Linked DNA regions of Xenopus tropicalis. Each later gene encodes a partner of the first gene's protein in a complex. Links are inferred from orthologs where the notes say so. Each region holds a gene or a part of one and is shown on either strand. Other genes may lie near its edges.

Region 1 (3,653 bases):
CAGTTTGTTTTTCAATTGAGTGGTACAGTTTATAGGTCACATTAAAGGTGGAAAAAGTTCTGAAATGATTTATCTTTGTCTTATTTTTGTACAGCACAGGAACCTGACATTTTATCAGGGGTGTGTAGACTTTTTATATCCACTGTATGAATGTATTCTGCCGCAGCATCAAAACTGCAATTTAAAAGCACAGTTGAGGGTAACCCCACCCCCTGCATAGATTATCTGTTTCTGCAAATGGAAGTTTTTAGTTGCACATTAAACACTTTTGGCTGTTGCACATGAGCTGTAATACTAGGAACATGAAATTTAGACACAGCAATGATAGAGAAACCGAATGTATACATCTGGGCTGTACATTGTCAGGCCTTTGGATAGTTTTTTGTATTCTTCGGTCTTCAGATTTTTTTTTTTTTTTTTTTTTACCCTTCAGTCAGTGATGGAGACAATTAAGTTGAAAATAGGAATCCGACAAAAAATTTAACTTGTATATCCCCTTAAGGCACCGTCTGGCCGGGAGAGTTATAATTATAAATGAAATAGCCAGTTACACTTTGTGCACATTTTTTGAAGCATAAACCACTCCAATGCATAATATTAGATTATGAGGAAAAGAAAATCTGTATTAGAATATCTCAACTGTTCTGTCTGAGAATGTAGTATTCATAATTATTAAAACTGGCTAAAAACTTCTGTGTGCACCCTGAAGAGTGTCGCAAGTTAATTAAGAAATGCTCTTCTCTTTTCAGCATGTCTGAGATTGATTAGCTTGCTGTAACATTCATGGTGAACCAGCAAAATAACATATTTTCATGTTTTGTCTGTGCATACTGTTTGTGCGCAAATTAGGGCAGCTATTTTTAGCCTATTAATGCAGAATGGGCAAGTACCTTAATAAATCATGTCTTTGCTCTCTTAATTTAAAATGTTAAAATCTATAGGTATTGTTGTAGGTATGCTGTAGAACAAATTCTTTTCCATTGTCTCTTTTAGGTAGTGGTTAAATGTATCTAATTATAGCATTGCTTGGTTTCTGCAGGTTGAAAAATTGTCAAAGGAACTTGAAGCTACCAAAAAAGAAATGGCATCAATTTCCACATCTGCTGTTTTAATCCCTGTACCTTCTGCCTCTGGAAATGTGCCACCTCCACCACCCCCTCCTCCTCCACTTCCAGGTGCAACTGGTATTCCTCCACCTCCCCCACTTCCAGGTGGCTCTGGTATTCCTCCACCACCCCCACTTCCAGGTGGCTCTGGTATTGCTCCACCACTTCCGGCTGGCTTTGGTATTCCTCCACCTCCCCCACTTCCGGGTGGCTTTGGTATTCCTCCACCTCCACCACTTCCCGGTGGCTCTGGTATTCCTCCACCTCCCCCACTTCCGGGTGGCTCTGGTATTCCTCCACCTCCCCCACTTCCGGGTGGCTCTGGTATTCCTCCACCTCCCCCACTTCCGGGTGGCTCTGGTATTCCTCCCCCACCACCATTTCCGGGTGGCCCTGGAATTCCTCCCCCACCGCCATTTCCAGGAGGCTTTGGAATTCCTCCTCCTCCTCCTCCATTTCCAGGTGGCCCTGGAATTCCTCCTCCTCCTCCATTCCCTGGTGGCCCTGGGGTTCCACCTCCACCTCCAGCATTTGGAGGTGGTGTTCCTCCACCACCAGGACTTGGAGGCTGGGGGGCACCACCACCCTTACCATTTGGCTTGGCTCCTAAGAAGAATTATAAGCCAGAAGTGCAACTGAAGCGACCCAACTGGTCAAAGGTATGTCAACTAATATACAACCAGTTTTTTATTGGGCGGTGTTATAGGCTACATTTTTCAAGTTGTTACTATTCCAATCATTATTTCCATATTGCTTAATATCTAATGCACAGTGCAAACAATTGAGGTTTAAGTGTCCCCCTCAAGAGCAGTCACTTTCCTTGGAACATGCTTCTCTTACTTTGTTGTCTAGTTCTAATGGTATAAAATTGTCTTACATCAAGGAAGTTCCAGTGCTTGCCTTTGTCTTCTGCCTGAAGCCTCTGATTAATGGACTCTTGCTTCTAATTTCACTTAATTTCATTTTTTTATTGTTTATTTAATGTTTTCTGCCCTCTGCCTTGTAGAAAGCATTAAGAAGCCATCACCATGGTAACACACATTCTAATAATCACATTTCCTATAAAATATGCAAGCATTGGATAATTACCTTGCTCTAAATAGGCAGAGTTTCTTTTGTCATTTAAATTGTACATCCCCTCTGTTCTTTATTTATTTTTTTAAGAACTGGGACAAAGATAATGAATGTGCATATCTGTGAAATCCTTATCATTCTGTTCCTCTCCATGAAACTAGCTACATTTGAGTGTAAGAACTGCTTTGTTGGCACACAGACAGATTCAGTCATTCCCATTTTAGTTTAAGTTTTGTAGTAAATATCTTGCTTTCCTGTGCTTCTGTAAGCATCACAAAGCTATTTTCTTGGAAACGACAATTCACAATTTTCCCAAAGTCCTTAATCCTTTGCTATCCCCTTGTTCAATCCAGAGAATTCTTCTTTACCAGTCATTCATTTGGTGAAACGTTGAAAGGTGTTCAGATCAGGTAATATATAACATGTAAATACTTTTCCAGATCACTCCTGCTGAGCTTTCAGAGAAATCGTTTTGGACTCAGACAAAAGAAGATCGTTTTGAAAAAGAAGAGCTGTTTGCAAAAATAACCCTCACTTTTTCTTCACAGATCAAGTGTGAGTGAGCCAAGATACCGTGTATTTCTTGTGTGTTATTCCTGAGATCTGTAAAAAAATGGGCGGGTTGCTAAACAGTTTTTGGGTCACTTTTTTGCACATTAGATTTTTCTAAAAACGTATGAAGTAATTATTAATTCGTAGAAAACAAAAAAAGAAGAAAGGTTGACCCTCAGACTTGTACCACCCCTTCCTTAATAAAGGTATGGGATCCGTTATCCAGAAACCTGTTATCCAGAAAGCTCTTAATTATGGAACGCCCGTCTCCCATAGACTCCATTTTAATTAAATAATTCAGAATTTGAAAAATGATTACCCTTTTCCCCGTAGTAATAAACTGTACCTCGCACTTGACTCTAGTTAATATATAAGTAATCATTATTGGATGCTAAACAAGCCTATTGAGTTTATTTAATGTTTTATTGATTTTTTTTGTTGACTTAAAGAATAAGTAAACCTTTTTTTTTCTATCAGTAAAATTACTCTAAACAGCCTCTGGAATTACCTACATTTGTCCCAGCATTCTGTCTGACCTGGTTCCTCAGTTAGAAGTTAATCGGTTTTCTTTGCTTCCTTGTGCAGAGTGAAGACCCGCCCCCACTTCCTGTTCAGGTCTCTCTTCAATTCGACTATCTGTAGTCGACCTGGAGAGCCTTCTGGGCATGCCTGGAGGCAGCAGGAGCCAGTCTGTGCATTAGCAGGGTTTTTTTTTTTTTTTATGAGAGACCAGAACAGGAAGTGGGGGCGGGGCTTCACTCTGAACAAGGAAGCAAAGAAAAACAATTAACTTCTGAGGAACCAGGTCAGAGAGAATGCTGGGACAAAGGTAGTTAATTCTGTAGGCTGTTTAGAGTAATTTTACTGATAGAAAAAAAAGGTTTACTTATTCTTTAAGGTATGGAGTTTCAAATTAAGGAA
Region 2 (3,653 bases), on another chromosome or scaffold:
AAAGTAAATTAAACAAAAGACAGTTTTATTTCTTCAAGAAGGAACACCTGATTGAACCATTATGCTCATTGGCACAATGGCCATAGGTGGAGCCAAATCACTTGGCTATATTATTATCATCCCATAACAAATACAGAACCAATACAGCACCTCTAGAAGCAAATGCTGGTTGTGCTAATAAATAAATAAATGAACAAAGGCACTCCTGGTGATAAGCCTACCTGTTCCCAGCTGATTTCCTTAGTCTCCTGGCAGTGGTTAAATTAAGAAGGATAAAGAAGAAAGATTCAGAGTTAAGCTGTTAGTCGCACAAGTAGCAAGATTATGTGCACAGAAGCAGAACGTGCTAAAGTATCAAGCAAAGGAAAATGAATCCAAGACATAATGTGAAATCACAGACAAGAAAGTAAAGGTACTTAGGACAAGTAACACCAATCAATTTGACATACTGGTTGTTCCTATCTAATACTTATATAAATGTGCAGCAAAGTGTCTCCTTGTTAGCAACTTTACATGAATTTAAACCGAAATACCTTACTGGGTGTTTTTTTATCAGTCAAACCTATAGCAGATAATTGTGAACCAAGTTGCCTTCTTTCTTATATGTTACTTAAACCGAACAAAGCAAAAACATCATATATCATAAATGTGTGATTATAGATATAGATAAAAGGCAATACGAGGAGGGGCCCCTCCCTAGCAATCCATGGGCTCACTAATCAGAAGCAATATATTATTTCAACACAACATACATATAACTTTTACTATATACCATACATATGGTCAAATTTTGTGAGATTCAATTGTTTTATACTCATTGATTTTTATTGCTCTTAATTGTGGTATATAGTGAAAGGCATATGTATGTTATATTGAAATAATATATTGCTTATGATTAATTAGTCAACTGATTGTGAGGGGCCCCTCCTCTCATTGGCATTAGCTTTGTTTTTAGGGGGGAGTTAGTATCTATGCTGGCATGGATGAAAATAAATTTTGCCTTTTATCTATATCTATGACCGCACATTTATTAGTATAATATCATACTGGGATAAGCTCTTGAGTGTTTTTGCTTTGTTTGGTTTATACTAGGGATGCACCAAATTCCGGATTCGGCTTTTTTTAAGGATTCGGTCTTGGCCGGATCTGCGGTCCCAGCCGAACCGAATCTGAATTCGGCCAAATCCTTCTGGGTAGGTTCGGTGCACCCCTACTTTATACTGAACATGAACTTACACGATTCTATTAAAAACCCAGGAAAAGTCGTCTACGTACTGGTTTAGTGGTTGCTGTCAGGGTCTCCATCTCTTCGTGGGTCATCCACACATTACCTGTCGACTGGACAGAAGACATAATAGAACAGTGATCAAGGGGCAAATCAAGATAAAGCATGAAACAAAAATAAAACCAGTAATGTGAATAATAAAGAACTGGGCCTGACAAGCGTGGCCAATGACTGCTAGGAATATTAGAATGTCAGCCATGTTGGACAAACCATGGCATAACATGCCATTAGCTGCTCCTTTGCTTCATGTGCTACATAAAGTGCTGTGAGCGCTCACCGTACGTGAGGTGGCCGGTGCGGAGGGACTAGTGAGCGATACCATCTCCTGGATAGCAAGGCGCAGTTTCAGCCGATGGAGGGGGTTGCTGATGCCAATCTCCCGCTGGATTTCTGTATCAGAAAGGTTGGCCATGATAGCTCCACTTTTTACGTTAGCACGGCAAGCTGCTACATACCAGGCGGGCATGCCTACCCATAGCTGGGAGATAAGATGACGAGAAACAAGTTTATTGACTGTGACAACGACGTAGGAAAGGACTAACTGAAGACAAGATAACTTTTCTTACCTCCAACCATGAAACAACAGTGGGTCCATCCCAGGCAGCGAAAGGAAGTCCCTGCCGGCAGGCTTCTTCCAGCAGTTCATGCCTGTAAGGCAAACATAAGAGAAACACCATCAGGGGCAGCCAAACCACCTCCATTGCTCTACACCACCAAGTCTAGGAGACACAATGTTCATCAAAAATACAAAGATTTTAGAGCCTTCCAGTTCCAAAAACAGCACCTCCACCGAACAGTTTCCAGTGGCAATACCGGTCACTTGTGGTTCTTTGGGCTCCAGTGGTTGAAAAAGATTTGGTTATAATGATGGTTCCCAACATGGAGACCATAAGCCTGAATGAATGCTGTAAGCACAATAATATTAATTACAGGCATCATTAGAGTGGCATAAATCTGTATCTTAAAGATTCAATAACCATAGTCCAAGTTATATATGACAGATCTGGACTGGGATTCAAAACAGGCCCTGACATTTCAAATACACAGAGGCCCAAACAGCCCCCCCCCCCCCCAGCCCAATAAATAGTGAGTGTCTATGGCATCTTACAGCAGCCCCTCTGGCATTTGCCTGAACCCACAGATTGCCAGTCTGGGCCTGATGACAATTCTCTTGATAACCATGTAAAACTGTCATTTTACAGGGAAAAACTCATGACCAATTAAGTTCTTCGGGCGCCTTGCGTTCCCACAGCAGGTTATGAAAAAGGGAAAACGAGCGGCGCAAGATGGCACGACAAGTAATGCTGTGACTCACTGCTGCAATTCACACCTGGGCGCTGATGCATATATATATCAGGCCGGATGCGTCTTTGTCAGAAAACACAAGACCTGTTAGATATTTACAGGGGAAGTGTAATTTAATATTAACTCTATCCATGCTGGTCCTACTGACCAATCTAGGGGCTAATGGGGTGTTTGTTGCACTGCAGGCTGGTACATACTCTGAAATGTTACAGGTAACGGAACTCTGTAATTACCATCAGGCTGGACCTGGCTGTTCCAGTGTTCCCTTAGTATTTGTAAATACTGTTATGGGAAAACAGGTTTTTTTTTTCAAAATTATGAGGACTGCTCTGGCAGAATTCTGAGATTTTTAAAAGAGCAAACAGTTTTTTTTATATTTAATTTTGAAATCTGACATAATGCTAGCTACGTTCTTACTTTCCCAGGTGCCTGCAGCCATGTGACTTGTGCTAGTGGTACCTAGACATAAGAATAGCACCCTGGCTGGAGAAACCCCTTTATATGCGGCTTAGGTCGTACTGACCATACCCTGAGTAGGAGAAACAATAGGTTAGCTGAAAGCAGTTCTAATGTGTAGCGCTGGCTCCTTCTGAAAGCTCAGACTCAGCCACACTTTACTGCTGCGCTGCAAGTTGGAGTGATATCCCCCCCCTCCCAGCAACCGATCAGCAGAACAATGGGAAGGGAGCAAGATAGCAGCTCCCAGTAGGTATCAAATAGCACTCAATAGTAAGAAATCCAAGTCCGGCTTGTGACTCCTCCAGTTCCATGGGAGTAGGAGAAACAATAGGTTAGCTGAAAGCAGTTCTAATGTGTAGCACTGGCTCCTTCTGAAAGCTCAGACTCAGGCACACTTTACTGCTGTGCTGCAAGTTGGAGTGATATCCCCCCCCTCACCCCCAGCAGCCGATCAGCAGAACAATGGGAAGGGAGCAAGATAGCAGCTCCCAGTAGGTATCAGAATAGCACTCAATAGTAAGAAATCCAAGTCCGGCTTGGGACTCCTCCAGTTACATGGGAGTAGGAGAAACAATAGGTTAGCTGAAAGCAGTTCTAATGTGTA
Region 3 (3,653 bases), on another chromosome or scaffold:
GAATTAGAATCCCATATCTCTCAAGTATTTTGCCATTGCGAATGTCTTTTTATTCAAGCCGCCTCCGTGGACGCCTTCCTTGCCCATTGCAAAAACCAAGACTGAAAAAGAAAAAAAGAAAAAGATACAATGAGATTGTGCTCAGCAATCAGAATGTTGTATATTATACACATAAATATATTATATTTAATTATATATATATATATATATACATATATATTTGTCCTGTGATTCGGTCAAGATTTGTTTTTTTTTTTGTTTTGTTTTGTTTTTTAGGTGGATGGGGCTGAATCCACATGCCTGGCCAACGTGCCATACAGAGTAGCTGGCTTTTAAAGCTTTGGTGAGGGTCCTTCAGGGCATGGGATATCCCAGTGTGTGCTGATTTGGATAATGTCCAGGAAAGGAAAATAACGTACAATTTGCCCTTTTCTTTACAAGTGAAACAACATAGTTACACATGTAAACATCCCATGGTGCTTTGTGTTTAAGATTCCAGCTAAACTAAAAAACTGTCATGTATGAAAATAGTCTGCACATTTACAGTCCCCCGCCAAAACCACCTGCCTCATATGGGTACTAGCGCTCAGTGTGCCCATTCCCTTGTACATTGAATTGCTCATTATACTGAACAGGAATTTGTTTTGATGATCAAACTGCTCCATCTTGATTGGAAATAAAGGGCAACTGAACTTTGTAGGCCACATCCTAAACTCACTGCAGGAGATATTTTGCACCAACTTGCAGTTTTAAGGGACTGTATATCCCCTTGTACAACATGCGTTCAATCAATAGGGGTTGTGCCAAACCTACTTTGTGCATTGTCACAGACAATCCCTGCAGAATAAATGGGAACAGAGAACTATGGAGATCCTTTCTGATGAAGAGGTGGTTTACCCCTCTACTTAAATATGCCCCCCAAAACTTAGGCAGCATGTAAAGCCACAACACAAATATTTTAGCATGCAACCCCACAGAGCCTTTTCCCAGTTACATAAATCTAGCAAATACTAAAAACTGCTCCTCATGTTGGCTGTGCTGTAGCCTTAACCATGCTGGGCAAGTCTCCCAGCCACAAACAGCCATCTGGTGTAATACATGTACATATTTATAGAAATAAGGATATTTAGATATTGCCTGGATGCAGGTATTCCTCTTGGCTATAATTACAGATGGGATAGCAGGTCTTCTTGTTATAGGGGACCTGTCCCCATAAGAAATAATTCCAAATCCTTTTTTATCATGTTAGTCGAGCAAAATAAAGTTTACTTACGTTATATAAATTATTTATTAAATGTTGTTCCCTTTAGTCATGGAATTCAAAATAACAGCAAGCAGGCTGTGCCATTTTGTGTACACTATTATCAAGGCAATCTTGTTTATGCACCATAATAGGGAACCTGATGCACAGGATGAGAAGTGCAGTAACTTCTTGTTGTTTGAAAAATATAAAATAACATTGAGGCCTTTATACTCAAAGAGGTCCAGTCCAACCTCCAACAAAATCCTTTCTGCAAACCCAGGCTTAGCAACACAGAATCAAATATACACACACACTAAGGCACCACAAGACCTTACCTCTTACGGCTTTTCCTACAGCAATATTGTATGTTGGTTCTCCTCCTTGACTCTTTGTTCTGATGTCCATTGTGAAATCGTTATCAATATAGAGGCTGTCTCTTATAACAGAGCATTTCTTTCCTCCCACAGTTAGGCCACCAGTAAAGAATCCTTCTCTGTCCTTCCCTATGAGCACATCAATTTCTGCAGGCTGCCGGAACAAAGTACAAAGCCATTTGTTTGTTATTGACGATTGCATCAATTTTCTACAAATTCTATAAGTTACTATAATAAATACACGTAATTGTTTAGATTCTGTCAATGGGACATATACTTCCTTGACACAACCATAAAAATATTGGGAATGTGTAACCCAAGCACCCCCTGCTGTACTGTCAGGGCATGGCCACAATGACCAACAGAACTGAGCAGAGAGGCCTTTAGTGTCTAAAGCAGAAGGGGGCACTTGGGCTAAACATAAAGGGAGCATAAAGCATAACTCAAAACCCCTTTAGACTTGAATGAATAATATATGGTCCCAGTTTCAGTTTCTACACTAAAAATTATCTTTAAAAACAACCACATTATTGAAGCTGCCCATAGATTCTCTTTGGTCCGTGCGTTTCAAATGAGTAGTGGATATGTCCTAACAATCCTTGGCAAAAGGGCAATCATGCATTTCACCCAGGCAAAGGCAGGAATTCTGGGGGGGGGGGGGGAAGCACTGCACTGTGGGAAAAAACATGGCGATTGCACTCAAAGTTTTACTTTGCTCACTGCACATTTCCACATGTGCAGGATGAAAAACATTCAAATATAACCCTAAGCTTGAACAAAGCACCCTCTTGCTAAAAAATACCAACAAATTTAACATCAGCAAATGCATAATAAAGGTTACACTGTTCTCCCCATAACACTGAAGAAAAAAAACAAAAAATATAACCTTGGAGCTGCCAGAAGCCATTTGTAATTTATACAACATTGCTCGTGTGTTATAGCTCCCACAGCCAAAGGACCCATTACTGGGCCGTAACTGGGCTGCAAGTGGAACTTAAGCTGGCCATACACGCACCGATAATATTGTGTGAAACCTCGTTTGTACGATATTTGGTGCGTGTATGGCAACTCGACGAGGCGACCGATATCACAGAAGGCTGTGACTCGCCGATCGGGCGCCATTGAAGGCGCCTGAGCAAAATTTGCCTTCAGGGCTTAATCGGCAGAAGGAGGTAGAAATCCTATTGTTTTTACCTCCATATCAGACGATTCAGCCCTGAATGTCAGTGGAGGGTTGGAACAATCTTTAATGCGACCGATGGTCGCACGAAAGATCGAAAATCGCCACGTGTGTGGTTCTCTTTCATTGCAATCTGAGCCAGGATGTTACACTCTGCTCTTTGTTCAGTGGAAACGTTTACTTTAAAATTAACTGAAGATGGGGTAAATATATATACAAGGAGAAAAAAAAATGTTTTTCTTCATAGATTCTTGTACTGCTTTTCCCCACACTGTAAAATACTGCCTGGTTAAGTTGCAGACTGAGACAGATTGTTAAACTTCATTTGTATTGTTATGATTTATACATCTGTATTACTTCTATTTAGGCCAATGCCAGACGGTGCTGCAGATAAACTCAGGCCAAGAATCAGCCCCTACGCTGGCATCAGCCTTTCCCTGTGCCTGCACTCTGAGCCACTACATCAGCTGGGGTGCAGGCACACTGAGTGGATTTCAGTCAGAACATGCGAGTATGCAATTCTGAGCCAAAATCCACTCCGTGCCCCTGCAACTCAGCTGATGCGATGATTTTGGGTGCAGGCAGAGAAACAAGTGGATACCAGAATCAGTGACCCTAGCAACGTTATAACAAACTGCCACTCTCTACAACATCCTATCCATTGGCACACTATGTAAGGCTAATGACAGACGGAGCTGACTCGGGCCTGTGGATAAAGCAGGCAGAGGATCGGCCCCTACACTGGCATCAGCCTTTCCCTGTGCCTGCTTCCAGAGCCATTGCATCAGGCCGGGTGCAGGCACACAGAGCAGATTCTGGTGCAAAATGCATACTTCTGTTATTTCTGTGCTAAAAG

What was found. Proteins that work in one complex are often made in the same cells at the same time.
Region 2: the proteins of diaph1 (region 1) and ppfia3 are in contact, whole or in part, in a crystal structure (PDB 4UWX), measured with the Mus musculus proteins. The link is inferred for Xenopus tropicalis from reciprocal best matches to the Homo sapiens genes DIAPH1 and PPFIA3. Residues at the interface, in NP_031884.1 of Mus musculus: Lys252, Ser255, Ala256, Ile259, Gln307, Asn310, Ala311, Thr314, Pro315, Ala316, Glu317, Arg322, Gln352, Cys354, Val355, Glu358, Gln359, Glu362; in NP_084017.2 of Mus musculus: Pro719, Arg720, Arg723, Leu724, Arg726, Met727, Ala728, Ala730, Leu731.
Region 3: the proteins of diaph1 (region 1) and pfn2 are in contact, whole or in part, in a crystal structure (PDB 2V8F), measured with the Mus musculus proteins. The link is inferred for Xenopus tropicalis from reciprocal best matches to the Homo sapiens genes DIAPH1 and PFN2. Residues at the interface, in NP_031884.1 of Mus musculus: Ile635, Pro636, Pro637, Pro638, Pro639, Pro640, Leu641; in NP_062283.1 of Mus musculus: Ala2, Gly3, Trp4, Ser6, Tyr7, Asn10, Ala28, Tyr30, Trp32, Arg108, Met131, Tyr134, Leu135, Ser138, Phe140.

Annotation. Positions count from the first base shown.
Region 1 is NC_030679.2:27,682,408-27,686,060, reverse strand, and holds part of diaph1 (protein diaphanous homolog 1), read left to right. Parts: intron 1-1,039; coding exon 1,040-1,765; intron 1,766-2,620; coding exon 2,621-2,735; intron 2,736-3,653. UniProt on the Homo sapiens protein: Actin nucleation and elongation factor required for the assembly of F-actin structures, such as actin cables and stress fibers. Binds to the barbed end of the actin filament and slows down actin polymerization and depolymerization.
Region 2 is NC_030683.2:117,906,931-117,910,583, forward strand, and holds part of ppfia3 (liprin-alpha-3), read right to left. Parts: intron 1,934-3,653; coding exon 1,852-1,933; intron 1,764-1,851; coding exon 1,563-1,763; intron 1,339-1,562; coding exon 1,276-1,338; intron 249-1,275; coding exon 222-248; intron 1-221. UniProt on the Homo sapiens protein: May regulate the disassembly of focal adhesions. May localize receptor-like tyrosine phosphatases type 2A at specific sites on the plasma membrane, possibly regulating their interaction with the extracellular environment and their association with substrates.
Region 3 is NC_030681.2:118,629,654-118,633,306, reverse strand, and holds part of pfn2 (profilin-2), read right to left. Parts: intron 1,772-3,653; coding exon 1,579-1,771; intron 102-1,578; coding exon 4-101; 3' UTR 1-3. UniProt on the Homo sapiens protein: Binds to actin and affects the structure of the cytoskeleton. At high concentrations, profilin prevents the polymerization of actin, whereas it enhances it at low concentrations. By binding to PIP2, it inhibits the formation of IP3 and DG.